Linked DNA regions of Saccharomyces cerevisiae S288C. The gene in region 3 interacts genetically with the main gene of each other region. Each region holds a gene or a part of one and is shown on either strand. Other genes may lie near its edges.

The links.
Region 1: mutations in TRP4 (region 3) and KAP120 together harm fitness more than expected from each alone (negative genetic interaction), as found in Saccharomyces cerevisiae (one large-scale study listed by BioGRID).
Region 2: mutations in TRP4 (region 3) and VHS2 together harm fitness more than expected from each alone (negative genetic interaction), as found in Saccharomyces cerevisiae (one large-scale study listed by BioGRID).
Region 4: mutations in TRP4 (region 3) and FBP26 together harm fitness less than expected from each alone (positive genetic interaction), as found in Saccharomyces cerevisiae (one large-scale study listed by BioGRID).

What each region holds. Positions count from the first base shown.
Region 1 is NC_001148.4:306,960-316,986, reverse strand, and holds KAP120 (karyopherin KAP120), read right to left. Parts: upstream 3,600-10,027; coding exon 501-3,599; downstream 1-500. Other genes in the region: SPC29 (Spc29p), read right to left, coding at 1-232; NAN1 (Nan1p), read right to left, coding at 4,087-6,777; HHO1 (histone H1), read left to right, coding at 7,383-8,159; TBF1 (Tbf1p), read left to right, coding at 8,766-10,027. UniProt on the Saccharomyces cerevisiae protein: Functions in nuclear protein import as nuclear transport receptor. Serves as receptor for nuclear localization signals (NLS) in cargo substrates.
Region 2 is NC_001141.2:90,741-98,965, forward strand, and holds VHS2 (Vhs2p), read right to left. Parts: upstream 5,636-8,225; coding exon 4,325-5,635; downstream 1-4,324. Other genes in the region: TMA108 (Tma108p), read right to left, coding at 1-2,048; OM45 (Om45p), read left to right, coding at 2,879-4,060; YIL134C-A (uncharacterized protein), read right to left, coding at 5,782-5,985; flavin adenine dinucleotide transporter FLX1, read left to right, coding at 6,655-7,590; 60S ribosomal protein uL13 RPL16A, read right to left, coding at 7,787-8,225. UniProt on the Saccharomyces cerevisiae protein: Can suppress the synthetic lethality of the hal3 sit4 double mutation when overexpressed, suggesting that it is involved in the G1-S transition.
Region 3 is NC_001136.10:1,177,970-1,186,389, forward strand, and holds TRP4 (anthranilate phosphoribosyltransferase), read left to right. Parts: upstream 1-6,777; coding exon 6,778-7,920; downstream 7,921-8,420. Other genes in the region: ATP22 (Atp22p), read right to left, coding at 1-205; SBE2 (Sbe2p), read left to right, coding at 697-3,291; YPQ2 (Ypq2p), read left to right, coding at 3,832-4,785; thioredoxin-disulfide reductase TRR1, read left to right, coding at 5,330-6,289; SPC110 (Spc110p), read left to right, coding at 8,138-8,420. UniProt on the Saccharomyces cerevisiae protein: Catalyzes the transfer of the phosphoribosyl group of 5-phosphorylribose-1-pyrophosphate (PRPP) to anthranilate to yield N-(5'-phosphoribosyl)-anthranilate (PRA), the second step in tryptophan biosynthesis.
Region 4 is NC_001142.9:128,785-132,329, forward strand, and holds FBP26 (fructose-2,6-bisphosphatase), read right to left. Parts: upstream 1,860-3,545; coding exon 501-1,859; downstream 1-500. Other genes in the region: SSY5 (Ssy5p), read right to left, coding at 1-168; retromer subunit VPS35, read right to left, coding at 2,317-3,545. UniProt on the Saccharomyces cerevisiae protein: Monofunctional, high-specificity fructose-2,6-bisphosphatase, which releases phosphate from the 2-position of fructose 2,6-bisphosphate. Has no detectable 6-phosphofructo-2-kinase activity.

The DNA.
Region 1 (10,027 bases), on a different chromosome or scaffold from region 3:
GGCTCTTCACTTTCCTATCGTCTGATTTACCTGTGGGAGACAATCTATGTAATGGCGAACTCATCCTTTCCTGTGCTCTATAGTGCTTCTTGTTTCCCAATTCTGACGTGTTTGAACTGAAGTTCTCTTCTCGCAACTTTTTTAAGGCTTCTTCATGCTCTTTTCTTACTCTGTTTAGAGTATCGTCTTGAAACTTTTTACTGGCACTGTTTCCAAAGTTACTATAATCCATTATTCCTACAAGCCACTTTGGATCTTTGGTTAAACTTTTACAAAATTGGAAGAAGGTGATTTTATTCCGTGAGACTTGGTTTACTTCATTATATTACATGAACACTTTTCGCGTTTGTTTTTGTATTACGCAAAAAGCAAACAAAAAAAACTGCGACATCTAATTAGTAGCAAAATAAAAGTATAGAATGCGCGATCAAAAGATACCACTGTAATGTTGTTAGTCGAACTATATACAATTTTTTACTTTTATTTAGTACTTATTACTATCATGGACGAGCCTCTTGAGGCTGGATGGATAAAAACATTTGTAAGTTCTCTAGTAAACTAGGGTTAATAGTCTTCAAAAATTCTTGGTACCTTTCTACTCCTAAATGTGATTCTAGATATTCCATTGATTGGGAAATAAAATCTTTTAAACTAATGTTATGCACTGGATCATTGTTTTTGCATAATTGATGATATCTTAATTGTTCGGCAGTTAAAGGATGGAATGCAATTGATTGCTCTGTAACAATATCATTCAAGTGGTATTTTTCGCAATCCCCACGATTAGTTTCATTAATTTCTTCGAGCATTTCGATCCATAAAGATGCGATGGATGAAAACTCAGTCAAAATAGGAACTAAACCAGTCCTTAGTAAACTTGAAATACCTAATATGTGAACTTTTTTGAATTTAGGATCAAAGATATCTCTAAAACATACTATCCATCCGGTTAAAAGCTTGTTTACAACGGAATCATACGTCTGATCCTTAGACACAATTTTTCTTATTGATTCCGGCATGCGTGCATTTTCGTTAGAAGTTGGTAGATTGTCATGATATGTAGCTAAAAAAGTCATTAAGGCGTCTGGATTCACGTAGGATATTCTAGCGATGATTTGAATGATTTGCGAGCATAAATAAGATGAAGGAGCTTCTTCCAGGAAAATGGCATCGAATAATGCTGATAATACTCCGGTTTCATAGAATTTTTGCAATAACAGATTTTCGTAATCCGACTCATTGGATAATATCAAAATTTCCCAGATTTCTAAAACCAACTGAAATGAATCTTCCCTTAACTTTAAAAGATATTTAGACATTTGTTTAAAAATATCTTGAAATGTGTTGTTAGAGAAAAAATCCACAGGATTCAGAATCAGAGCATAACTTTTGATAATTTCAAGTAAAGTTGGGAGAATCTCTGTGTGTGTCTCAATACCATACTTTAGAAATGGCACCAATTCAACGAACTTATCGTCAAACTCTTGATCGTGGGATGAAAAATTTTGAAGAAGCATGCCCCATAGTTCATACCCGTCTTCGCTTAACAACTGATATTGCATAGAAGAGGGATCACAGGCTAATGCAACCACAGGTATGGCGATATCCCACGTTAAATGTGACTGTGATCCCAAAGATGATACCAAATTTCTCAATAACCTTAACAATGCGTTTGCCAAAATAGCCTCACTAGCATTATTTGTTGCTATTTCCCAAAGGTTTGGTATGATTTGCAAAATTTCGACTAATAGATCCCTGCTAATTAAAGGTTTTGTTTGAATTATGATATCGCTCAAGGTGTTTAAAACATATAGCCTTGTCTCGGTTAACGACACAGATGGTAAAATTTTCCTCAACAATAAATGAACATTTTCAGTTAAAAATGGCTGAAAAGTATCCTTGTTGAAGTTCCAGTCATCAACCATGGTTCTGACAGTCTGGACTGTGGTTAACAAAACAACTTTGTCGTCTTCATCTGTCAGGAAGTTTGTAAATAACTTGTAACATAAACTTTTAGATTCTTCCGAACACTTCACAGTAGACCATTCGTTTATAATTAAAGCAACTCTTCTTCTGATAATCCTTAATTCGTCGCCTGATATGTTTGTATTTGTAGCTTCTGGTAAAAAAACCTGAATTAGTAACCTGTCAAAATCTACCATTTCACTAACAGCGGATGCACTTAATTGGAAACTTGCATAAATTGCGTCTTTCCTTAAAAAATCGTCTAATGAGTTTGATAGCTTTGAAGCATCATTTTCAATTTTCTTTAACAGGTAGGGAACCAACAGCTCAGAGAAAGTATTCATTAAGTCTTGAAAAACGTTCTCTGCACATGGTCTGATTTGATATTCGTAACTCGTGGCCATTTGTTCGTTTATCCATTCTTCTGGATCCATAAACCAATTTTCTAATTCAGTTGGTCTTAACCTCAAGTACCATTCCATTAAAGTGTCAACCAACCTTGTTATCAAATTCTCATTCAGAAATTCTGTGTTGATTTTGTTGATAGAAGCATCTATGGTTAGTTTATCACTTCTTGCTTTTAACGTAATTGCCCCCTTTTTGTGAATGAAATTAATGACCCTTTTCAAAATTAAAAGCCCTCTAATAGCAGTCTGTTCCCAAAAGTCCCCCGTGACATCAGAATTCTCTCTATATACTTTAGGGGCCTTATCGAAAATTAGCCTAGTATAAGTGATTAGAATTTGCGTAGAGCATGGCAGTAATATGAAATTAGCCGGAGAGCCAGTGACTAAATTGAAATATAACTTTCCTAGGCATTTGATAAACTTTTCGTAAATATCAAACTTTTTGAAGTTTTCATGGTTTGAAATTAACATCTCAAAGTGTGAAACGGATAGTTTAATAAAATCGCAAACAGACTGATCGGTTTGAGGGCGGTCGTATCCTTCACAAATTATCCTTCTGAGCACTTTCAAAGCTAGGTAAGAAACTTGTAAACTGGAAAGATCCTCGTAGTTGAGATTGGAGGATGTCGTCCATTCTTCAAATGATTGTAAATAAATCCTGACAATTAGTGGTAATATCAAAGGAACTTTACTTTGCATAGCGGGTCGGCACCTTCCTATTCTCGCAGTACCTAATACTTTAACGATTTGATTTATATGCATCAATATATTGTAAATCTTAACTGAATCTTTTCTGATGATCTCATCGTTCAATAGGTTTTCTAGATCCTCAAATAAGGTTGGCCACTCTACGGGAAAATCTAGCCTTGCAATCCTTGCGGAAGCTTGGGCATTCTGAATACAAAGTTGATTATTCTGTTCATCGATCATTTCAAAAAGACGACCTCTTATCGAGGCTTTTTCATCTTTAGGTATAGCGTTAATTCTAGTGGATCTCCAGTATTTATCCACGCCGTTCTTAAATTGAATTACCGCCAACCATCTAATTTGTAAAGAATTAGATAAATTAAGGTAGATTGACTGTAATAAGTAATGAAATCCCGCTTGAGTCTCCCATTGTCTTAGTTGTTGTTCGGCTAATTTTTGAACATCTGACCTAATATGTTGTGGGTTACTTGCTTGTTCAAGTACTTGAACCAAGTTTAACTCGTTAAGAGACGAGGCCATTTTTGTTTAACGCCTTTTAAAATTTGATTCGGTTGACAGTTGAGGCAAGCTAAAAAGTTAATAGTTTATGGTGCCTCCTTTTTCTTAAACACAACACCTACCAAGAAGTTTGACAAATATTAAGCTACCCAATTGTTTGAAACTTCAATCTTCTTACATGGAAATGTACGCTATAGAAGTGTAATTCAAAAAAAAAGAGGCGGCTTATTTGGAGAGATTATTTTATTCATCTTGACTGAGGATGCTCATCAAACAAAAATCGTATGAAGAGATTTTTTGTATATTATGATAGTTCTATTAACATTAATGATTGTGAAGCTTTTTACGAAGTGTCTGTTCCTATTAACCAATGCATTCTCTTCCCTTCCCTTGTAACTAAGTTATACAGATATTTTTGCTTTCGGTTTGCTTTATAAACATATATATATATATATATATATATATACCTTTATATCTATTTTGGATATCCAATGGAAGAACCCTAAAGCTATGTTAATACTTTCATCACACGATCAAAAAATGTATCCATTTGCACGTTTTGAATGTTGTCAAACATGCTCGTAAAACTATTCATATTGACTAGCTTATCTTTCTTTTCGCCATTTATAAATTCCAAAGCGATATCTTCTTCATCTTCGTCGTTATCATTGGTATTTTTATCTCTAGTGTCACTTTTTTTGCCCCTAGACGACAGTTTATGCAATTGTTCTGCAAAAATATCGCTATTGGATGCCGAAGTTGTGATGGTGTTACTTACCAGGCCATCCAATATTCCTTCGTTATTAACTTCATCAGATAGTTGAGTATTCACAGTGGTTCCGACAACACCTAGTGTTGATTCTATGTCCAAAAATATGAAATCAGTATCATAATTCCAACCAATCCAAGATATGTATTCATGATGCGTAAAATTACCCAATTTTGTAGATAAGTCAGAATCGAATATAATAATACGGGATTTGTAATTGATAGTTGGTACGCCATCGAGATCAGTTAGTTGTTGATTTATAACCAGGGCAATGTTGCCTGTCCTTTCGTCACAAGTAATAAGCCTATCCATGTGACCATTTTTATACACTCCGTTAACAAACGGATATAAGTCAAAACTATTTATGACTTGACCCCGCAATAAGTTGATGGCGTTTAATGTAGTCCTGGTGGCCACTATTAAATTTGTGTCATTAATCAACTTGACGGTTTGGATTTCAGAGTCTAACGTGAACTCACTGACCGTCTTTGTATTTTCCAATGATTCAAACTTTTTAAAAGTGTCGAAATCTAAAATTTGCAACTTGTCATCGAAACCATGGAATATTAGAGACCCGTCTTGAGACCAAGCTAAAGAAACGGAGTTACTGAAATGATTAAAGTTTGGTAAAGAAATTTTTTTCAAGCACCAGTTGCTCTCATGAGAGTCGAAGGACCAAAATTTCAGTCCACCGTTGTTGTCAGCCGTTAAACAGCCTTGACTATTATTAACTGATCTTGGTGAAGGCAATATCTTGGTAATTGGGACACTTATCCCGTGTGGATTTATTACTTTCGTTTTCAAATTCCAATTTGTCTCATTATCGTTTTTGGTCCAAAATTTCAAGATATGAGTTAAGTCCTTGGAAGATAAGAGGTCATTTGGCGGATACTCAATTTCGTATGTAATCATCCATTGCCCATCTTTGGTGAACTTCAAATCAGTTATTATTGGGTCTTGTAAATTCAGTTCAAATCTAACTTTACCCATAGAATTGTTGACACCTGATGTTAAATACTGATAGTTAACTTGCTCATTTTTATAGAAGTCAAAAATTTGAACAGCAGAAATGTGTGGGAAATACAAGTTCTTGTTAATAGGGTTTATTTCTACATTAGTGGTGAAATCTTGTCTTCTCGATTTAATTAGTTTTCTAGATTGTTTCTTCTTAGAGTGATTGAGAGAGGTAATTGAGTTGGAGTTCTTGGTATTCATGGCCGAGATTGGTTGCTGAATGTGTTTTATGGTGCTATTGAACACCGGTAATGGCCCGTTAATCGACAATTTGGAGGTCAAATCAGAAGCATTCAAAAGTAAAAATTGGTAGTCAGAATTTGAATTGTTTTCAGTCATTTGTAGGATTAAAGAGTAGTAGTTCCCTTGAGGTCCCAATACCTGACAGTCGATTATAATACCGTTCAAACGAGGCAGGAATTGTTGAGAGTTTGTTTCCAATTGCCATAAACTCATAACTTTTTCCCAACCACCAGATAGCAAATAGGATCCATCGTGAGAGAATGAGAGTGACAGCACAGAGTCTATATGCCATTTGAGCAGTCTTATTTGTAGATCGGCCAGGCTTACGATACTTATAACTCCGGAGGCAAATCCAACAGCCAGTTGTTGACCCATATTGTCTATGGCCATGCTAGAAACGTACCTTGTGTTATAGGATAGGGATTGAGTCTGTGAAGAAAGGATGGAACCGAGGGGAAAGCTTAAATTTACAGAATCATCAAAAAGCGAAACAACTGAGATGGATTTGTGTTCGTGATCTTTTGTTGAGACGTCTTTGCACATATGCGCTAGCAGTTTACCATTGGAAGAAATATTTGACAAGATAACGTTGTGCCATTCTGCCTGATGAGCCACTTCAAATTGCTTTTTAGCATCGTCAAAGGTTAATGCATATAACCTGTACGATTGCAAAGAGTTATGTGCCTTTTGACTAGGGTCCTTGAACGTTGTCAAAATTCTATAGTTGCCCTCGCTATGGAAAACATTTGCAAGCTTTTCATCTGCCAAAGAGATTTTGAAATGCTTAGGGGACTCGACCAGCTTCCCCTTATAATTTAAAACAATTACATGACCATTATTGGTGAATACGGTAATCAGATGAGCGTCTTCTTGTTGCGGAACGGTTATATCACCCAGCAGAATCTTTACAATCGATTCATTATTCTCTTCTTCTTGCAGAAATATTCCGGATAACAAGGAGTTATTTGCAAACTTTAGAGTCTTAACACATTGTCTAGTTTCCACAGAATACACCTTGATCTGATTGTTAAAGGGTATAATATAGTTTCGTTGGTCTTGTGATAGGCGGGCGATATTCTTATTGCCGGTTACTGAACTGAGATTATTCAAAGCGGGTTTCCCACCAGATACGACTGACAGTTTATACTGTTCGATACCTAGGGATTGCGTCATTCTGGTGATCAGCTAAAATGGTTCTGGTTTGTACTTGTAGTTCCTGTGACGACAGCCAATATAACTGATATGTAAACTGTGCCAAAAATCATTTGTTCGAAAAATTTCATCTCATCTCATCGCTAGGAAAAAGAAAGGAAAATTTTTTTCTAGTTTCTCCTTCTCACATTTTACATCACTTACCACGTACCCTAAGCAGTAGGCCGCCTTAACCCTGACGTGCTATTTTGTTACCCTACTGATGTGACCGCTAGATTTTGACATGCCAAGCAATACAAATCTCCAAGAAGTTGCTGTTTGCTTTGATGAAATGCTATTCTGTGTCAAAAATGCCCCCTCCTAGGGACTTGCGTCTAGGTAAAAGCTATTCTGCACAATAACAGGTTTGATGGATGATTTTTGTTTGTTCTCTTTGGCTTTTCATTTTCGCGTCGCGTTTTCTGCTGTTGTTTGTTTTTTGTGTGGAAAAGCGGGCGGTCAAAGTTTTTTGTTTATCTGCCTTTATTTAAAGAGGAGGAGCAACTATAGATTTGGGGAGTTGTTATTTATGGGCACCTGATAATGCTTGGCAGCGAGGGAAGCAATTATAATACAACTAAAGCAACATGGCACCCAAGAAATCCACTACCAAGACCACAAGTAAGGGCAAGAAGCCTGCAACCAGCAAAGGCAAGGAGAAATCAACTTCCAAGGCCGCTATCAAGAAAACCACGGCAAAAAAGGAGGAAGCTTCCTCCAAGAGTTACAGGGAGTTGATCATTGAAGGGCTCACGGCTTTGAAGGAACGTAAGGGATCCAGTCGTCCGGCACTCAAGAAGTTTATCAAGGAAAACTACCCGATCGTCGGATCCGCAAGCAACTTTGATTTGTACTTCAACAATGCCATAAAGAAGGGTGTGGAGGCCGGCGATTTTGAACAGCCAAAGGGACCCGCTGGTGCTGTGAAACTGGCCAAGAAGAAATCTCCAGAAGTAAAGAAAGAAAAAGAGGTCAGTCCAAAACCCAAGCAAGCCGCCACTTCTGTGAGTGCAACCGCATCAAAAGCGAAAGCCGCATCCACGAAGCTAGCGCCAAAGAAAGTAGTGAAAAAAAAATCGCCTACTGTTACCGCCAAGAAGGCCTCTTCGCCTTCTTCATTGACCTACAAGGAAATGATCCTTAAAAGCATGCCTCAACTTAATGACGGTAAGGGCTCCAGCCGTATCGTTTTAAAGAAGTATGTCAAGGACACTTTCTCCTCCAAGTTGAAAACAAGCTCAAATTTTGACTATCTGTTCAATAGCGCTATCAAGAAATGTGTTGAAAACGGCGAGTTAGTGCAACCAAAGGGCCCCTCCGGCATTATTAAACTAAACAAGAAGAAGGTCAAACTCTCCACGTAAAAAGTGAATATCCAAACGAGAATGTCAATGGTGATAGCAATACTATCAAACCTATTTTCTTTCTTCATTTTTGTGTCCCATCACTATTAGTATTTTGTATTATTTCTAAATTTTTTTCTCTCTAATTTTCAATCTTATTCAAGTGTTTGTTGGCGGTACTGTAAATTTTCATTTTTTAATCTCTCCCTTCTCTATTTGTTACTTATTCGGTAAATATCTCCTTTATGATTTTATTCAAATTCCATTCTTAACTAACTAACTATACTGTTTATAAATTTCTCTTCTCTTATATATGCAAGGTACAGTGTGTAAAATTAATTATTGTATTTGAAGAAAAGGCTTTAAAATCTGAACATTTGAAGCCCTAATATTCTGCACCGTGCCCTATTAATTTTCGCCCCTTTCCGTAGAAGCCCGGCGAGACCTCATTCCGACTAATTTTCCTCAATGCTTTGCCCTTCCTTGTAAACATTATAATAAACAATCATCTCAATATTGGCGTTTTGCTCCTATATCCTTGCCAACATTTAAGATTGTGGCTGTCCCATCTGCGACAGAAATCATTTTACATTAGTTTTTCTTTACTCACTTCTTTCCCCATTTGTCATGGATTCGCAAGTGCCCAATAATAACGAAAGCTTAAACCGCTTCAATGACATCATCCAAAGCCTGCCTGCAAGAACTAGGTTGACCATATGCTCATTATGTCTGCTGGACAATATCTCCACTCAACTACTGAGGTTTCTTATCCTTAATGCCAACTCTCCCAATATTATAGCGGTTTTGACGGACCAGACGGCTTTCCTAAGCTCAGGCGAAACAGAAATTTTTCAAACGTTAGTCAAGCTCTTTAAGCAGATCAGAATGATTTACCACACCAGATCTCCGTTACTGTCTGTTCACGACGTGGCGCCTGGTTTATGGTTTCCCAACTCCCCTCCCCCCCTTATATTGAGAGGCCACGAAGCGTTTATTATTACTGCCATAAGAAAGGCGAATCTGCTAACATTTCTATTGACGTCGCTGAACTGCCTTAATTACGGGTTTGAGCTGCTACAGTCGATATTTCTCGATATTTTCTGTCCAAATACAAACACTGTCGGTAACAACTCCCTGGAACAAAGCGGAAAGTTTTTGAAATCGCAGGCTATCCTATATCTTGATCTGAAAACACAGGCTTACATTGCCGGCTTGAAAGAGTTTCAGGACGAGACGAACGAAATTTCTTTAGAAAAGAAACAAGAGCTACTAGACTTAATCTTCCCATCCAATCTGGCTGATATTCTCGTGCAGAGAAGAACCGGCGATTCTGGAGACATTACACTTTTGACTCCATCGGAGAAGGACTTCGTCGAAAGGTGCGATCGTCGGAGAGAAAATTTAAAGATCGTCCAAGATTTTAACTCTCTGACCCAGAGCTACGAATGGGCTCAATTTATCAGAGAGTTGCTGGATTATTGTAATAAAAATATGGGTCTCATCATATGGGGCAGAAAGGGTCGCGGAAAATCACCATTATATGACTTTGATGTCAACGAGTTTGATCCTCAAGTACTCTTTTCTACAGGGACCAGGACCGTAGAATTCATGGACGACCAAAATCAGCCAAGCAGTGCGTCTGCTTTTTTGTCAACTGCTCGTCCGAATCATTACAGCACACATACACCTACCACAGATGTGTCTTCCAAAAACCCCGCTATCACACAATCCATTGTGGATGCCGCTGTTGCGGCCTCGATGAGCAACAGCAGCTCTGGTCCTCATTCCTCTCATAACAACAGCAGTAACAGCAACAATAATGGTAGTATCGGATTAAGAAAACCAAAGGCGAAAAGAACTTGGTCCAAAGAGGAAGAAGAAGCATTAGT
Region 2 (8,225 bases), on a different chromosome or scaffold from region 3:
TTATTGAAAAGGGGAATGACAATTTTTTTCTTTAAGAAAGATTGTAATTTAGAGCTCGTTAAACTGGCACGATCGATCGTTTGCAGAACTTCCAACCCCTTGGAAAGAGGATCCCAATATTTTGATGCAATCTTTGTGGAAGGAGAAGCGATATGGTTTAGTATCTTAAAGAGACCGTGCAAATGAATAGAATTCTGGAAACCCTCATCTCCAATAAACTGCGACAAGTCTAAGAAAATCTTCCGAAGGTCAATCTCGGATAACGTCTCCTCAGTTATTTTATCATTAATCAATGCATAGCACTCTTCGGACTCATATGAAACGCGGTAATAACCTTGGGCTAAATGGTTAATTACTAAGATAGGATAATCGAACTTTAAGGTCCTATCCGTCAATAGTACATTTTTAGTATCCATTTTACCATCTGGCAGAACCCCGAATAAGGGTACCTGATATGGGACATCTTCTAACTGATCCTTTTCTTCAGTAGATAATTGATTGATAAATCTGTGTTGAGTCAATTTTGTTTGCGTTTTCCCGTCTTTCTCTTCTACTTCGACCTTAACGACAGGTAAGCCTGGCGTTCTTGTCCAAGATGAAACAAAGTTTGTAATATTTTGAGACTTCAAAAATTTTCCGATATGATTCCATATATCCATTGGTTTGACGCTTCTCGCATGAAATGTTTTAGTATCTTCAAATACACTTTCCAGGCCCTTTTGTAGATGAGATTCGCCTGTAGCCAATTGCAGGGACCTCAGCATGATAATACCCTTTGTGTATGCCTCAGGATCAAAAATATCGGAGGTTTGAGAATCTATGCCAGTGTTCCGTTGCGCAATCTGAAATATGCTTCTTCCATTAACGTCAGCTGCATCTCTGCACATGGTCGGCTCCACTTGCTGTAGTAAATAAGGTTCCGAGGTCCAATAATGGGATAGGTCACCATTCTGTTCTAGTATGTGGCAAGCTAACCAAGTAGCGAAAGACTCATTAAACCAAAGAGATTCCCACGAGTCAAAAGATATGTAGTTGCCCATCCATTGATGAACGAGTTCGTGGACAATGAGTTGCTGTGCTTGCTCTCTGACGGTTTCATTGGCCAAGGCATTTGGTGGTATGAGCAGGTGGTTTAGTTGGATGGTGATCATACCAAAGTTCTCCATTGCCATGTCACTTAAATATGGTAGTAGGACGAAATCTAACTTTGGCAGAGGGTATGGACATTTAAAATAGGATTCCAACAAAGGTAGATATTTCTGGACTGTATCTAAAGTGAAAGCTGCATTAGCAATATCCCAAGGTGCATAAATTGAAACGGGAATAGTCCTATCACCTTCCAACTTGATTTCCGTTTTCAAAAATTCTAAATCACCAATAGAAAAACCAAATACGGAAGTAGTCATCAAAGGTGTCTTGGCAAATTTCACCAAATGTTTTTGAGAACTATCCAAAGCTTCGACCATCTCTACAGGAGTATTGGAAACGGCTTTATATTGTGCATCCGTTGCAATGTTCAATTGAAAAGTGGACTTGTTTGAAGGCTCGTCAATACATGGGAAAATATTGCTAGCGGAAAACGGTTGGCAGTGAGTAGCAACGACGTGATTATTGGCAGTACCGGTTTTACGATCCATAAAATTGGTTTTGAAAATACCAAAAGTCTTATCATGATGTGTTTTTATGTCACGAATTTTACCCACGTATTGCACGGACAAAATCAGAGGGCAATCGTTGGACAATTGAATAGGAGATTCAGAGTTGAAAATCGACAAATGCTTTCCAGTGTCCTGAGAAATTTTTAGATCAAACTTAGTAGACCCTATGGTGGCATGTGCAGACAACACAATCAAATCCTTGGAATGTAACTTGAACTGGGTAAAACTGTCTTCGATAGAAGCTAAGGTGGTGGAGTTCGGATTGAATTTCAAATGGATTATGGCGGATCCTTTGAAATTGGGCGACGACTGCTTAGGGTCAATTTCTAGACGCAACTCATAGTGACTAGGCACCACCGGATTCTCTAAAGATAACAAATTATCAGACATGATGGTTAGTGATGATCAACCTGGCGTTATATATCCTTTACACGTCTTCGGACCTTTTTTTTGTATAGCACATCCAGGAATGGTTTGACTGCAAAACTCGTTTTTCACTGAAAAATTACCGGCGAATTGTATAATAGAAAGGATCGATTTATACTAAAGAAAAGAAGGATTAATATACAAGACTACAACCAAGGGTGGTACCTCACTTGAAGGGGGTTCTCAAAGTACTCGAGAATTTTGATATTCTGTCCTGTGTGTGCTGAGCCGTTCCAGCCAGTCTTGTTCCAGAAATATGTTGACAAAATTGAAGTTCGTAAATATATATACATTTCATATAATAATTGACAAGCTGATACATACGGTGTGCGGACGGTTACATTAATGCAGGAATCTATAAATGCTATGGCCAGCTGGCGTCCTTCTGTTATGCAGATTTCTTAAAATAATTGGCATATTGGTGGTAAACATGAAATGTGAAGACGTTGCCCCTCGTCATAGGTAAGCGGTGGTCATCACAACCATCAGCGGTGACAATAACACAGCAAACAGTCTTGTTTGACTCTCCTGCCTGCATGGTGTTTGAAAGTGAATCGTCAGGATTTGCAACAACCAATAGTGTACTGCTATTCGCAGGAGCACAAGCTCGCCGGTGGCCCGTGTGGGTTAAGGGAGGAGTTTGTTGACCCTTATTTTGTCGAGTTCCTTGAAGAGGAGTATATATAAGGGGAAACGGTTCTTGCTAAAGTCCTGCTTCTTTGCCCTTTCTTGAAATAAAGGGTATTTTTGATTGGCCAGTAACGTTAATCATTTAATAAAACAAGCAGATAAGGATGTCATCAAGAATAATTGTCGGCAGTGCAGCATTGGCAGCTGCCATCACAGCTAGCATCATGGTCAGAGAACAGAAGGCCAAGGGTCAGAGAAGAGAGGGCAACGTCTCCGCTTACTACAACGGCCAGGAGTACGGCAGTTCAGCACCCCCACAGTTGGGAAAGCTACATAACATAAAGCAAGGCATAAAGGAAGATGCCTTGTCGTTAAAAGACGCGCTTCTGGGCGTATCTCAAAAGGCTAGGGAAGAGGCTCCAAAGGTAACTAAGCGTGTGATATCACCGGAAGAGGATGCTCAGACACGCAAGCAGCTAGGCCAAAAAGCCAAGGATTCTTCCTCGCAAAGCATCTTCAATTGGGGGTTTAGTGAGGCTGAAAGAAGGAAAGCCATAGCCATCGGGGAATTTGATACTGCTAAGAAGCGTTTCGAAGAGGCAGTGGATCGTAATGAGAAGGAGCTCTTGTCCACGGTGATGAGAGAGAAGAAGGCCGCTCTGGACAGAGCATCCATTGAGTACGAAAGGTACGGGAGAGCCAGAGACTTTAATGAGCTTTCGGACAAGCTAGACCAACAGGAAAGGAACAGTAATCCTTTGAAACGCCTGTTGAAGAATAACACGGGTGACGCTAATACTGAAGAAGCCGCTGCAAGAAGTGTCCAAGGCTGGGGTGATACGGCACAGGAGTTTGGTAGAGAAGAGTTGGAGGAAGCCAAGAGAAATGCTTCTTCAGAGCCAAGCGAGGCGCAAAAACGTCTTGACGAGCTGAAGAAGATCAAGGAAAAGGGCTGGTTTGGTTACAACAAAGGGGAGCAAAGCGAGCAACAGATTGCTGAACGGGTAGCCAGAGGTTTAGAAGGATGGGGTGAAACAGCCGCTCAACTTTCCAAGGACGAAATGGACGATTTAAGATGGAATTATGAGAATTCAAAGAAACAACTGGATAAGAACGTGTCCGATGCCATGGACTCGTTATCTAAGGCGAAGGAGGACTTGAAACAGTACGGCAGCCACTGGTGGTCTGGATGGACTTCCAAGGTCGACAATGACAAGCAGGCTTTAAAAGATGAGGCCCAAAAGAAGTACGATGAAGCGTTGAAAAAGTACGATGAAGCCAAGAACAAATTCAAAGAATGGAATGATAAGGGTGATGGTAAATTCTGGAGCTCGAAAAAGGACTAGTTAGATAGCTAATTGTAAAGGGTTGGTTCCCGCATAACATATATACATATTCACATGTTTCTCATTTTTTATATTTGAAATCACATATGGTCTTTGCTGATTATGGATTGGAAAACGGAGTAAATTAGTGGCATTATTGGGGTATACGTGCATACATAAAATACCGTTATATATCTATATATATGGAAAAAAGAGACTTAAATGAATTTTTAGAGTAGGAGAAGAAGGTTGAAGAAATGAACAATCGCGGCCCTTCAGTTTTCTTTATTTGGTTGTGTCTGGATTCATAGAGGTTATTGTAGAGTTTGAATTTGATTTTGAACTTGGATTCGAGTTTGTGAACGCAGGGCTATTTTTGATGTTATTATTAATAGTATTCTTGTGTTTATTAGTATTATTGTGATTATCGTTAACCATGTTGGCAATTGATGGTGGTTGTGCCAGTTGTGACTGCAATTTTTGCTTTAGATTGAGTTTATCTCTTTCAATCATAGTGTTGTCCTCCTCTTCGGAAGAAAACCCTTCACTGCCACTGGATTCCATATGGAATTTGGATTTAGGTTTCCCGATCATAATGTTGGCAGCACTGCCGGGCCTATTGCTGTTTCTTCTTGAACGGGCGCTCCCTGAAGGTGACCTTTGTTGTTTAAGTAAGTACTGTTGGTTCGATGGCGATCTTGATAGTGCGGCCCCCGTAGTGCTTCCAGCGCTGGTTCCCCCATTGGCATTGTTGATCGTTGTGTTAGAGTAACGTCTAGATATGATGAAAGGGTTGGTGAAGTTCATATGCTGAGGTGGTGATGCCGAAGCTGATGGGGGGGAAGGCAAATGAGAAGGAGAATTCAAAAGGGACGACGAGAACGAGTAGTGACCTTGCATTGGGGGTCTTCTCAAGGGGTTCGCAGTTGATGATGTTGATGTCGCATTACTAACGTTGTTATTGTTGTCATCGGACAACATGTCAGCGTAGGAATAAAACCTTAGTAGTCTTGAACCATGGTCGTTGGGAGATCTTGGATGCGCAGGCGACGTTTCGTTATCAAAAGATTGTGACGAAAGACTTCTTGTCCTACCTAGGGCTCTATCCAGGCCGATGGTAGATGGCCTTCTCGAATAAACCATATCAACGTCATCAAGGCCAGTCGTGTCGTCAGTTACAATAGAACAGCCAGCGTCTAATGCAGGAGGGACGAAATTCTCTAAGGTACGACGGTGATCCAGTGGAGTCTGCACAACAAAATCCGGATTGTATGTCTGGTACGATGCTATTGACTCATTAGTCCTAGAAGGTTGCAAATGTAGATTCACAGCAGACGATCTCTGGCTTAAGTTATGGAAGTTCCTATTACTAGAATTATTATGATTGAACAAACTGGTCCTGCTGCTCTGCCTAGAGAGAGAGTTTGCAGCGTTGTTTGACACCGTTTTATAAAGGTATGATGGGTCCTCTACATTTCTTTCAAAAATCATAGAACTCTCGCTCATGGAGGGGGAAGGTGGCATATAATTATTGTCGTTCTCCCTCTGTGCCGCCACGTGGGAGTCGTGGTCTTGGTTGTGGTTGCTGGTATCCATCTTTGCCGTTTACGTTCGCTTTGCTTGAAGGTAGTCTATCACAAAAGCTTTCAGGATCAACCTTTTGCGCCTCAAGAAATTGCATATCACCAAAGGGTGAGTTTAGTCTGATACTGTTTGTTAATCACCTCACGACTGTTGCAACATTAATATGGCGCACACACCGTGTTACGTGATGAAAATAAAGATAATAAAGCGATAGCATAAATAAAATACCATTTAATACGCTTTGTAAAACAAGCACTAACAAGGCGTTGCTTAATAACAAAATAGTCAGCATTCAACAACGTGAGAAGGATAGCTACGACATCTACATCTGCAGTGTTGTTAAATTCGCTGCCAACAACCATTTATATGTCACCATACACGGTCATGCTCTCTTGCACCATTTTTCTCACCTATATAAAGTGAAAAAGTTTTCGATGTCTCTTCTTCCTTCCTAGTAAACTACACTCCATGTGTTTCTGAAAGGGACCTTCAGGAGGTTACGATCAAGTATCTTGTGACATGCAAGAACTTGATGCTTCGATGGGGGAAGTCTTATTTTCAATGTGTTGAAAAGAGTTAATTATGGAACGGTTGGTCATAGCTTTGTACAGCTCAATGTCGTCATGTTTGTAAGGATACAGGCGCGACTTGATCTGCGACTTACTGCTATCAAACGATAAATTATGTTTTTCTTCGTTTCCTTTTTTTTTCTTTTCAGTTTCCTTCCGTTTATTTTTTTGTTGGATTTATCATGATGAGCATTTATTTTACTGCGTTATCGTATTGACGGGGGCTGTTTAAGTACAGTCTGTTTTATAATCTATATTCATTTATATTTTATATTTCTTACCGAGGAAATTGACTCTTAACAGATTTGCTGAAAGGTTCATCTTACAAAAAAATTGGAAAACTTAAACTGAAAAAAAAAAAGTGAAGGAGTACGTGAAGAGCAGTAGCTTTCATAGGAATATGTACAATATCTTGTCTTTGTACTTTGCAAAACCAGCACGCAGCAGGAAGCTCTTGATAATATGGTCGATCACCAGTGGACGCCACTGCAGAAGGAGGTTATCTCAGGTCTGTCCGCGGGATCCGTCACCACATTGGTAGTGCATCCATTAGATTTACTGAAGGTTCGTTTGCAATTATCCGCTACAAGCGCACAAAAGGCCCATTACGGCCCATTTATGGTAATCAAAGAGATTATACGTTCGTCGGCGAATAGTGGACGTAGTGTTACGAACGAACTGTATCGCGGATTAAGCATAAATTTGTTTGGAAATGCCATTGCATGGGGAGTTTATTTCGGTTTATATGGTGTCACGAAAGAATTGATATACAAGTCAGTGGCAAAGCCAGGGGAAACACAGCTTAAAGGTGTTGGGAACGACCACAAAATGAATTCGCTTATTTATTTGTCTGCCGGTGCTTCCAGTGGGTTGATGACAGCTATCCTAACAAACCCTATCTGGGTTATAAAGACCAGGATAATGTCTACAAGTAAAGGCGCCCAAGGAGCGTACACTTCTATGTACAACGGTGTCCAACAACTGTTACGAACTGATGGCTTCCAGGGCCTATGGAAGGGCCTTGTACCCGCACTGTTTGGTGTTTCGCAAGGTGCCTTATATTTTGCAGTTTACGATACCTTAAAGCAAAGAAAATTGCGACGGAAGAGGGAAAATGGGCTTGACATCCATTTAACAAATCTTGAAACCATTGAAATCACATCGTTGGGAAAAATGGTCTCCGTCACTTTGGTTTACCCTTTTCAATTATTGAAATCAAACTTACAAAGTTTCAGGGCCAATGAGCAAAAATTTAGGCTCTTTCCTTTGATAAAATTAATCATTGCTAATGATGGTTTTGTTGGACTTTATAAGGGCCTATCTGCAAACTTAGTACGGGCCATTCCATCCACTTGCATTACCTTTTGTGTATACGAGAACCTTAAGCATAGGCTTTAGTAAATAAAGGCTATATGATAGATTTAATTTCTTGTAAATATCAAACGATAAAAATATAAAAAGTACGAAAGAAAAAGGGGAGGTAATCTAAACTGTAACGGGGAGGAATGGTTTCTTTGGTTTTTATTATTTCTAAAAAATATTTGTGATTATATTACAAAATGTAAAGTATTAAAGAAAAACTATTTTTAATTTCTTAGTAACCCAAAGCGGCTAATTGTTTAGCAACATCAGATTCAGCAGCAGTAGCATTAGCAGAGGCAACTTTCTTGGTGAAAGCTCTCTTCTTGGCATAGTATTCAGCGGATGAAACCTTTCTCTTTGCTTCCAATTTGGCAACAACATCTTCGTATTTCCAACCAACGGAAGTAGACAACTTACCCAAGGTGGTGTACTTTCTACCTGGCTTCAATCTCAAAACTCTCAATGCTTGTGGGACAACAACTCTCTTCTTCTTATCGTATGGAGGTGGGATACCTTCAAAGACCTTTAAACGTTCCAAAGCGGCCTTACCACGAGCAGTCTTGTGAGAAACCATACCACGAAGAGCTTTGTAGAAGATTCTAGATGGGGCTCTGAAATGGAATGGACCACGGGTCTTATTGAAAGCGGTAGCCTTTCTCAAGAAATCATGG
Region 3 (8,420 bases):
GCACCTGTCGTTCAAAATCGCCAAACTGCAAAGGTTCTGAACGATTTGATTTAATTTTCAATGGACAGTTTTTCGTAGATAAATGGCGCAGATTTGTAATAGGTAGAATTGTGTATGTCCCTGCGCTACCCATATGTTTAAACAGCGGTGAAGTGACCATTTGAGCCAAAGGCTGGGAATAGACACGGCATATACATTTTAACATGCCAATAAGAACATTAAAGTGAACGCTTGGAAGATTTGAAAGCCCATTCTTGCCAGTACGCCAATAAAGTGTGTCGCGCAGAATAGATCTTCATGTAATTCCTTTTTCCCTTTTATGCAATCTATAATGTTAATCAGCGTAGATCACTATATACGCTTTTTTTTTTTTTTTTCAGCTCCGATTAGAGAGCAAAAGAGATGTAACATCGATCCTGCTATAATTAGAATACAAGTGTTGATCTTTAATTGTACTGTTTCTGCGAAAGCTATCGAGCATTTGGCTGTATTCCACTGTCCATTGTATTTTTAACTCTCCTTTTTATCATTCTGAAACATAGAGCTGTTTTGACAAAATTCAGTTTTTTCTCAATTAGTGCTTTCATTCATACGTTCGTTACAAGCTTTGAATTTTAACTTTATTTTCGGGCTTCCACCTTTGCTTCATTATTTTACTTCAGCTCTTTAGCTTTCTGTGACATTCAATTTTATTGTATGACAGCACGTCGTTTGATTAATATAGTTCCTAATACGTCTAAGCTAGACCCTTTAAAGGAGGAGGACTCAACGCATCTGAAACAAAATCAACCTAAGAAGTTTTCCACAAAGGAGTTGATGCTTTCAGAATATACCGAACGCAAAAGTTGCAGCCTTCCGTTGTCTAAATCCCGATCAGGCAGTAGTGCATCCAGTAGCACTACAGGTTCGAACGGAAAGAATATTGGAACAAGACGCCCTAGCTCCAACCTAGATTTCAATTTCGCTAGCCAAGATGTTGTTAAAAATGTATTAGGTAATAATAATCCACACGTACCCACAGCGAAGTGCATTAGGCCAATATCAGATGATTCTATAGGTACATCGAGCACAGAGATATTTTCTTCATCGCACTCAAATACGACATCTGATTCTTTATGTACATCAGATATAAGCTCAGAAGAGGGTGAAATAGCAAACAGTAAGATGGAGGATAACTGCTTCTTCAAAAGTATGAGAGAAGCTGACCATAGAAGCAATATTACGCCCTTAAAGAAAAGCCGACCGGGATCAATACTACAGAAAACACGTACAGCAAGTAGCGCTGATAAAACAATCTGCTCAATGAGTACCATAACTACATGCATTCCATCTCGTCAAAATTCGGTGTCAACTCCTAAACTCTCCAGGACAGTAGGGCTGCCTGGATCGAGCAATACAACCAACAGTATAGCCGCATCACAAACTTCATTCATAAGCGAGAATGACTCTCCTCTTAAACATCATTGCATGAGTACCGCAACTATCCAAGAACCAAAACTCATGCCGATCACAAAAACGCCGTATGTGCATTCCAATAGTACTTCTGTAATATTACCATATAAAACAACCCAACTTACTCCTTCTCAACGTTACCGTTTAAGGAAAGAGCAAAATGACCAATCTTTGCGTAAAGCCATAAAAATGAAAGAAAAATTTTATGAAGATCAAGACGTTAACTTGGAACTTCAAGAGGGCGATGTCGACGGCTCGTTAATTTGGAACATTCCAATGGCATCTTTATCGACCAGTTCTTTTTTAACATTATCTAAGTTTAATAGAAAAGAAATGAGTTTAGATTCAGCGCGGGGGGATGAAGAGATATTAATACAGGAGAACAATTGCGAAGGCAAACAACACTCATCTTCGGCTCTCTGTGTGGACAAAACTTTCCATCAGGTTCATAGTACTAGAAAACATACATCAAATTCAAGTAACACTTTAAAAGAATCATGTCTGGACTATAAGGAGCTTCCGCCAACATGCATTCCTGGTATATCTCCTGTGTCTGATTCACAGTACATCCAGGATACAATGAAAAATCTCTCCCAAATATACCTGCATAGTTCCGAAAAAATCTCCAAAAGTATTCTTTCTGGTCGTTCAAGATCTGTACAGAGTTTACCACTGGAATTTAAAGAAGCCAGTAGTCAGGGAATGGAAGACCTAATGCTAGTTTCAGAGGACAAACTAAAGGCCGTAAGTCATTTCCGTCCGAGTTGGCTCCCGCCCAAGGATTTCAAAGAGAGGAAATTGCAAGATAAACAAATCTACAAAAATATCGACTTAGCATCAATGGAAGAGTTGCAAAAAAATAAAGAACGTGACGAAAAAGCCAAAAAGAATGAGCAGAATAAGGTCAAATTCCAGCATTTACTGGACCGAGGCATTACTCGTAACTCGTCATTAAGTGAATTAAAGAAAATTATTTGGGAAACACCTTTGATATCTAAAGTACGGCTTCAAATATATAGTCAACTTCTACAAAGTGACAATTGCTTGATAACAAAATGTTTTATTGAATCATTTGAGGAAGTAATGCAGCTACTCAACAAAATGGATTTTCCCAAAGATAAAGAATTTGAAATAAGACAGCTTATTGAACACGATGTACAGGAAAAGGTTTTTTATAAAAATGGAACAGATAAGCAAGTGGTTTCTGACTTGATGCTATTACTGCAACTGAAATCTATATCTCAACAAGGTTTGGTTACTGGTGATGAGATGCTATTCTACCATTTTTTAACTGATCAATCTTTTGGGACTTTGAAGGAAACATGGGAAATGGTCAACTTGATACAGATGACGTGCTTCAGTGAAATTTGCAAGGAAAAATACGATTCAAGAATATTAAATCCCAGAGGAATTGTTGCCCATCTTTTACGAAAAGATGAGTTCAAAAATGAATTCAATGGCGGATGTTTGAATAGCAATACATGGTGGAACATATTGCAAAGAATGGACCATAAACTTTTTATGTGGGTAATGGATGTAATTATCGTTCATAATGGCCAAAACTTTGCAAACTACCCCGTAAAAATGGAAATATTCAAAGACAAAGTATGGGAATACTATAGATCTAAGAAGGTTATTGTAAATTATAAGATTTTGGTTTCACTAACAGTTAACGTATTGTTAAACTACCACTTCGGATATGATAATCTGAAACATTTATCAGATTTGGATGATAAGCATTTTTGTATTCCACTGTATACGGAGGATAGTATCGAAGAGGAAAACCTCAATAATATTTTCACAAAGTGGTGGTTGCACTACTACCGAAAATTACGTTAGCGTGTATGTGGCACGTACTAAAAGTTTGGTGACCAGACTATCTCTTCTTAAGTTCATTTTCACTCTGAAACTTATAAATGCATACATACAGAAATTACTTTCGATTAATATAATAATATATTTTTAATAAACAATGAACTAATGCCCTTATTGTGTTTTGTTATTAACCTTTTCATCACCATTTTTTTTTGCTAGCTTCTACGGCATTCACTTACGTGCTGCAAAATTTCGCAGCATGGAAGAAATTGTTCGCGAAGAAAAAAGATTTCGCTCAGTGATTTGTAGTGACAATAGGTACCAGTGTTATCACTAAGTATATCTTTTAGTATATCTCTTCGCTTGAGGAGGGATCAAAAAAAAACAAACGTAAACGTGCACATAAACGTCAAGTACTTTTTGCAGGCATTAATATTCGTCTCCAACAAAGACAAATAAAGAAGCAATCTTTTCATTACCTTAAGCCAGTATCTATTGATATCAATCGATAAGGTTCGTTGTTATCGGTGCTAAAAATTATAAAGTGAAAATAAGAATCTTTTCATGTCGTGCTCAAACGGCATCTGGCCTACTGTATCTAATTTGTGCGGATCATTATCCTTCTTCACCTCTGTTATTTCATTGTTTCCACAAATAATTGAGACTTATCGAGATAAATCTGTCGATGGGCTATCGCCATATTTTTTGCTGGCTTGGTTATGTGGGGATATTACCTCGCTGATAGGGGCAAAGCTAACAGGGCAATTGTTATTTCAGATACTTTTAGCAATTTATTTTCTATTGAATGATTCTTTTGTATGTGGTCAATATTATTACTATGGCGTGCTGCATGAAAATAAATTGGCGACTGTCGGCCATGAGCCTAAACCTCTTCTTCCCGAACTGGTTGAAAATGGTGAGCTTTTGAGGGAGGAAGAGGACATGATACAAGGTGGTAGCAGTGCAGAAAGCCCTAGAAGCAGTAGAAGAAGGTCTGCCATTACAGCAGCCTTGGCTATAGCTCATACTATAAGTACAGCTAGCGCATATCCGCTAAATGTAGGCTCCACCCAATCACAAGTGGGGCCTCCCGGAGATGGTAAAAACAGCCAGCTGGGTACAATTTTATCTTGGATTGGCGCTTCCTTCTACGTAGGCGCACGTATCCCACAACTAATCAAGAATTACAATAGAAAGTCTACAGACGGCTTATCTCCCTTCCTATTTGCTACTACACTACTCTGCAATATCACGTATAATTTGAGCATCTTCACAAGCTGTAGATTTTTAGATAATCAGAACAAGAGGGAATTCATCGTGAATGAGTTGCCCTTTATATTTGGAAGTGCTGGAACAATTGCGTTTGATTTGATATACTTCTACCAATACTATATCCTTTATGCAACTGATATGCAACTACGTGAACTGGAAAGAGAACTATACAGTCCTGAAGAAGACAGTGCAGCGCAACTAGTGACAGAACGTACATCACTGTTGTCTGGTGAAACGCAAACATAGTTTTCCCTACGGAGTACTACCATTTATATTTAAACAATGCACTCTGCTCTTGGGATAGTCCTTGCGAGACCCTTTTTTCCCAATAGGAATACTACGTTCGTACTCTGTGTAAAAGTACCCAACTATAGTTAGCGCCAGTTTTACGTAAAACCGTCTATGTCTTGTTTGCATTCGCAACAGCTACAAACACATATAGTTTGTCACACTAATATTAATAATGAAAGTTATTATGTATTCACTGTGAACGCTTCAGTATACAGTACGGCAGTAAGTGTTTCATTCTGTTCTGGATTAATAATCTTTCACTTTGCCTAGCCATTTGGGGGCGGGTTTTGGCTGGGTTAGCTTCTCCTTAGTCATGGAGAAAAAAAATCGCCCGCAAGTATCTCGAAAAAGGAAAAAATGCCCACGCGTATAAGAGTGGACCCAACTGCTCGAGGTTTCAAGAGCTTGTAGATTAATTTCTGTAGTTCAGTTATACTTGCCTACAAGTGCTATACAGCAAATAGCGAACAGTACGAAAGTAAACATCATATTATCAATAATGGTTCACAACAAAGTTACTATCATTGGTTCAGGTCCAGCTGCACACACCGCCGCCATCTATTTGGCCAGGGCAGAAATCAAGCCAATCCTATATGAAGGTATGATGGCGAACGGTATTGCTGCCGGTGGCCAGCTAACCACCACTACAGAAATCGAAAACTTCCCAGGTTTCCCAGATGGTCTAACAGGTAGCGAACTGATGGACAGAATGAGAGAACAATCCACGAAGTTTGGCACTGAAATTATCACGGAAACAGTTTCCAAAGTTGATCTGTCTTCCAAACCATTCAAGCTATGGACCGAATTTAACGAAGACGCAGAACCTGTGACGACTGACGCTATAATCTTGGCCACAGGCGCTTCTGCTAAGAGAATGCATTTGCCGGGCGAGGAAACCTACTGGCAAAAAGGTATTTCTGCCTGTGCCGTGTGTGATGGTGCCGTCCCCATTTTCAGAAACAAGCCATTGGCCGTCATTGGTGGTGGTGACTCTGCATGTGAAGAAGCTCAGTTCTTGACCAAGTACGGCTCAAAAGTGTTTATGCTTGTCAGAAAAGACCATTTGCGTGCTTCTACCATTATGCAAAAGCGTGCTGAGAAGAACGAAAAAATTGAAATCCTTTACAACACTGTTGCGCTAGAAGCTAAGGGGGATGGTAAATTATTGAATGCCTTGAGGATTAAGAACACTAAAAAGAATGAAGAAACCGATTTGCCAGTCAGCGGTTTATTTTATGCAATTGGCCACACTCCAGCAACAAAGATTGTCGCTGGCCAAGTCGACACTGATGAAGCGGGCTACATTAAAACTGTCCCAGGCAGCTCATTAACCTCCGTTCCAGGATTTTTCGCTGCTGGTGATGTTCAGGATTCTAAATACAGACAAGCTATTACTTCTGCTGGCTCTGGTTGTATGGCCGCTTTGGATGCTGAGAAATACTTAACTTCCCTAGAATAGATGAATTTTCCATTATAAAATAGATACACTCAAATTTTTGTATACTTATCCAACAAATCGTTACTTTCTCCTTTTCTTTAATAAAAAGCAAACCATGAATTTTATTTCTTTTCCCCATTATTAGAGAAAGCCAATACATAATCTACATATATTGCGTGTCTGAATTAAACTTTTTAGACACATGACATAGGCCATCGGCTTACTTTGTAACGCGTGGTTGCCTATACACCGACTATTAAGTTATGACTAATATTATTGCTGCGCTTCCCCACCTGCATTTTTCTTGTCGTCTTTGCCAAAAGGAAAAAAAAACCTACGCAGATTGACTCTCTAAAAAATGATTCATGACCAGACAATTCAGTAAACATAAACTCTGTTGCATTCATTCTTCTGGAAAACTTTATAATAAAGCATCTGATATTACAGCTACTGACAACTAAGTGAATTTAAACTGCAATAATCACAAGAAAACTTAGTATTCCCTTATCATGTCCGAGGCGACTTTGCTATCTTACACCAAGAAATTATTGGCTTCTCCGCCGCAATTGAGTAGCACAGACCTACACGATGCGTTGCTGGTTATATTAAGTCTTTTGCAAAAATGTGATACAAATAGCGATGAGAGTCTTTCCATCTATACCAAAGTTTCGAGTTTTCTCACGGCCTTGAGAGTTACTAAACTTGATCACAAGGCTGAATACATTGCGGAAGCTGCAAAGGCTGTGCTCAGACATTCCGACCTTGTTGATCTACCTTTACCCAAGAAGGACGAATTACACCCGGAAGATGGACCAGTAATCTTAGATATTGTAGGTACTGGTGGTGACGGACAGAATACTTTTAATGTTTCCACGTCTGCTGCTATCGTTGCCTCCGGAATTCAGGGCCTAAAAATTTGTAAGCACGGTGGTAAAGCTTCTACATCCAATAGTGGAGCTGGTGACCTAATTGGAACTTTAGGCTGTGACATGTTCAAGGTTAATTCATCGACAGTGCCCAAACTTTGGCCTGATAATACGTTCATGTTTCTACTTGCTCCTTTTTTTCATCATGGAATGGGCCACGTTTCTAAGATACGCAAATTTCTTGGAATTCCGACTGTTTTCAACGTACTGGGACCACTTCTACATCCAGTTAGCCACGTAAACAAGAGAATATTGGGCGTTTACTCAAAGGAACTTGCGCCTGAATATGCCAAGGCAGCCGCTTTGGTATATCCAGGAAGCGAAACTTTTATAGTTTGGGGACATGTTGGGTTAGACGAAGTATCACCTATAGGCAAAACTACTGTCTGGCATATTGATCCGACATCGTCCGAACTTAAATTGAAGACCTTCCAATTAGAACCTTCTATGTTTGGTTTAGAAGAACACGAGTTGTCGAAGTGTGCTTCATACGGCCCTAAAGAGAATGCGAGAATTCTAAAAGAAGAAGTCTTGTCCGGCAAGTACCACCTTGGCGACAATAATCCTATTTATGACTACATCTTGATGAACACCGCCGTGTTATATTGTTTAAGCCAAGGTCACCAGAACTGGAAGGAAGGGATCATTAAGGCAGAAGAAAGCATACATTCTGGTAATGCATTACGTTCTTTAGAACACTTTATAGATAGTGTGAGCTCCTTGTAGACATTATTTCATATGTTATACTTAAACTAGATAGAGACGTTTTATTTGTACTAAGCTGAACATTACCCTAATTACGCGTTATAAGTTTTAATCCTTCATTTTGAAGGAAAACAAATAAACAAAAAGTTGATGTGGAACAAATACAATGTGCGCGGATATCTTAAGCAACTTCGTTAGTTACAGTCCACACAAAGCGAAAAAGGGCTGATAAACACTCATGGACGAAGCGTCACATCTCCCAAATGGGAGCTTGAAGAACATGGAATTTACGCCTGTAGGATTTATCAAATCCAAGCGAAACACCACGCAAACACAAGTTGTATCGCCTACTAAGGTTCCAAATGCCAATAATGGTGATGAGAACGAAGGCCCTGTTAAGAAAAGGCAGAGAAGAAGCATTGATGATACAATTGACTCCACAAGGCTATTTAGTGAAGCTTCACAATTCGATGACAGCTTTCCAGAAATTAAGGCTAACATTCCGCCTAGTCCAAGGTCAG
Region 4 (3,545 bases), on a different chromosome or scaffold from region 3:
GTTTGCATTTTCAGGGTTCGTATCATGACTGTTTGGGTCTATTCTTTCTTCATTTCCAGATACGTTGCTAGACGACGTTTCTGCTGCGTTTTGTTCATTGTCTGCAGGCAAGTCTGTATTTTCCTTTTCTTCGTTCTTTTTCTTGTTTAAACCAAAAAATCTGACCATCGGTATATCGAGTTTACACCAGTACTATGTACATGCAAAAAGAAAGGAGGATATCTAGTATGTTTATTCAACCTTTATTGTATATTTACGTTTTCTGTACTGTATAATTTCATTTTCGAATCTTACTTTTTTTTTTTTACTCAAAAATACTTCCGCCGCGGCGTTCTACAATTTCACTTAAAATTAGTTTGGGTAATAATTACATACAATGCTGCAGACGTACATAAAAAACCATCAATGCTACGTTTCCTGATCTTTTCGTACATAAAAGATTGTGCGTATCAGCCACAAGTAAGCTTGGACTTAAGATACACAAAAATAAAAAGTAAAATTTAAAATTTGTCTTCCAAAGGAGAGTCATTGAGCAGTTGATGAAGTTTAGTTGAGCTTTGAGAAAGCTCACCTACTTGGCTTGTACCCTTCTCTTTATATGTACTCACTGCAGGGATGTTTGCTTTAATTTTGGTGACCTTTGTGCCATAGGCCCTAGGCTCCAGCTTGATCAATGTGTGTAGTGGGATTGACATCCAAGGGGATTCCTCCTGTGGAACGTTCATAAAATATGCATATATACACCGAAGTACGGCTTGATGAGTTATAATGAGAACATTTTCTTGGCGCTCCAATTCCATAATGACGGGCTCTAAACGAATCACTACATCTCTGTATGATTCTCCACCACGATATCTGTACTCGTATTTGTCATTATCACGTGCTTTAAAATCTTCAGGATATTCTTTTTCAATTTCCTCATACGTCATTCCGTCACAAACGCCAGCGTCTAATTCATCAAGTGCTTTCCATTGCAGTTTCTTATAGGGAAGATAATTTGCCGTTTGTTGTGTTCTTTTTAAGGTGGAAGTCCACACGGTCAAATTTATTTCTCCTGCGCTCTCTTTCACTAACTGCTCCAATTTTTTAGCGTACTGAAAGCCTCTTTCAGACAGTGATGAATCCCCGCCAATTTTTTTCTCTACGTTATAGATCGATTCGCCGTGACGGGAGAGCCAGATATATTTTGGTTTAGGACGAATATTCATAACATAAAATACAATCCTACTTTCCAAATATGTTCTGATCTTATTAATTACTACTTCTTCAATAATATTGACCAACTTAATGAACGTCATATCCTTATCTTTTTGGGGGTCCAAAGGTTCATAAAATCTTTCATATTGTCTAATTCTTTCCAAAAAATCAGCTTCCGCCACATGAGGTTCAGAGTTTTCATAATCAGGAGATGTGCTACCGATATCCTTAGCGTTATTTATAATCAGTTCATGATCGTTACTCCAGCTCTCTAAAAACATCGGTTGAATATTATTCTTTTCACATATATCTTTAAGCCATTTCCTTCTTTTACGTGTACTATTAGTAGCATCGAAAACTGCCACAGATCCGTCTTCTTTAGTAAAAAAATTAACAATATCTTTTATGGCATTTTGGGCAGCCAATTCTCTGAGTTTAAAATTATCTGTATTTTCGAAGTTAAAAAACTCAGCATCCATTGGGACATTTCCACTCACGTCTCTTCTGTAATTTCCCACATTAAAACACTTGGCTTTTATGGATAACCACGATAAGTACCTGATAATTTTTTGGGAAATAAAAGACTTTCCTCTAGCTGGTAGGCCAACCATTATCACACATACTTTGATATCATTATCGTTGGAAATAGTACTGTACCCCATGTTTCTTGTCTTACTTGATTCGGTTTTTGAGCCCCCTTTCCTTTATTTCTTAACAAACTTGCTTGGTGAATTTAAGAGCGAAGGGAAAGCAAAGATTATATATTAAATTCGTATCCACTGGCCAAAATGATACTTTACCTGATGTAAATGTATGATAAGCTATAGCTCTCTTAGTGGCGCTTTACATGTAGATGTAAGTTAGGGATAAGAATAGATTTGTGAGCGCATTGGCGCGACCCATTTTTTTAACACAGAAAAAAAGTAAAAAATAGAAATTACCCAATTAAGTGTTTTTATAGTAAACAATCCTTGATATCTTAGTTGAAAATAAACTCGAATTATGTACAAGTTTCCTTCCACTTAATCTATGATCCTTCTTTAGGTAAATTTTTATTAGCTTTATTTGTGTAGTTTTTTTTTATCTTGGGCATGTACGAAGAGCAAGTACGTTATTTAACTATACATATATGACTTTGAAACGATCGTCAACTTCTCTTTGACTTTCAATGTACTCACAAGTGCGTCGAAAATGGTGGATTGGGATATACTTCAGTTGGTGCAGTAATTTACTACCTGAAGCAGTTGCTACGACTCCGCGTATTAGCGTGGAAGATCCGTTCAGAGTATTTAATTGAATATACGTACCATCCGATCCTATGGCAACATTTGATTCCTTATCTGTGATTACAGAGCCATCGTCAGCATTACTGCTTGCCTTCACATTATTTTCTCCGGTGATGTGCAAATCACTGATTGAGTTGGTAATCATAGAGGCACTGTTATCTTCTAGTTTTAGCGATTTTAAGTTTGTTTTGATTAGTTCGATCAGACCATTGATGTATTTTATCGATATATGAGTTTCGGACTCATCCCCGTGAATAAAATAGTAGAGGCATCTATTTAATATTTCGACCATTAGCTCACAACTCTGTTCGTTATCCATTATAGAATCCGCCACACGGAGAGACCTTTGTAGACATTCTAACACCCGTTTACCATCTCTGTAGAAGTTGTCTGTGATACCTTCTTCCTCACCAATATTTGAAATTTCCGTTGCCCACCAGAGGTGGGAGCATAAATAAACAGCACGACATTGGTCTTGTTTCTTTAATAATTTGGATCCATGGAGTGTGCATCTGACAATCAAAGAATCATAATAAGCTTCTTTGTAGAGTGATCTTGTCTTTTGTAAAGACTGAGCAATATATATTAAAGCCTGTAACTGAGTCTTTGAATCACTTAGAGACTCTTCAAATATTGTGAAGGCCTGTGAGAAAAAATCATATGAAATTTCGTTTAATTGCAATTGATCAGCTAGAATGGCACATTGTAAATTCAGTTTCAGAATCAGATCTGTGCATGAGTTGTTGCAAGAATTAAAGATATCATTGATACAACGAGAAACAAATTTAAACATTTGCTTTAAAAGATTGGAATAATGGGAAAGTAACGTCTTGTTATCGGGTCTTTTTTTCAAAAGGTACTCTTGTATCATACGGCATTTCCTCATCAGTTTCCAAAAATTTGTGATTATTGCTGGAAAAGTGTATTTAACATTGATGCCACCTTTAATGAACGAAGATTTAATAAGAAGTAATATTTCCAATTGGGCTTCTAAGCTAAATTGAATTTTGTTTTTCATTGTTTGTTTCCGAGAAGTAGTGTTCATTATCCAATGAATCAAAT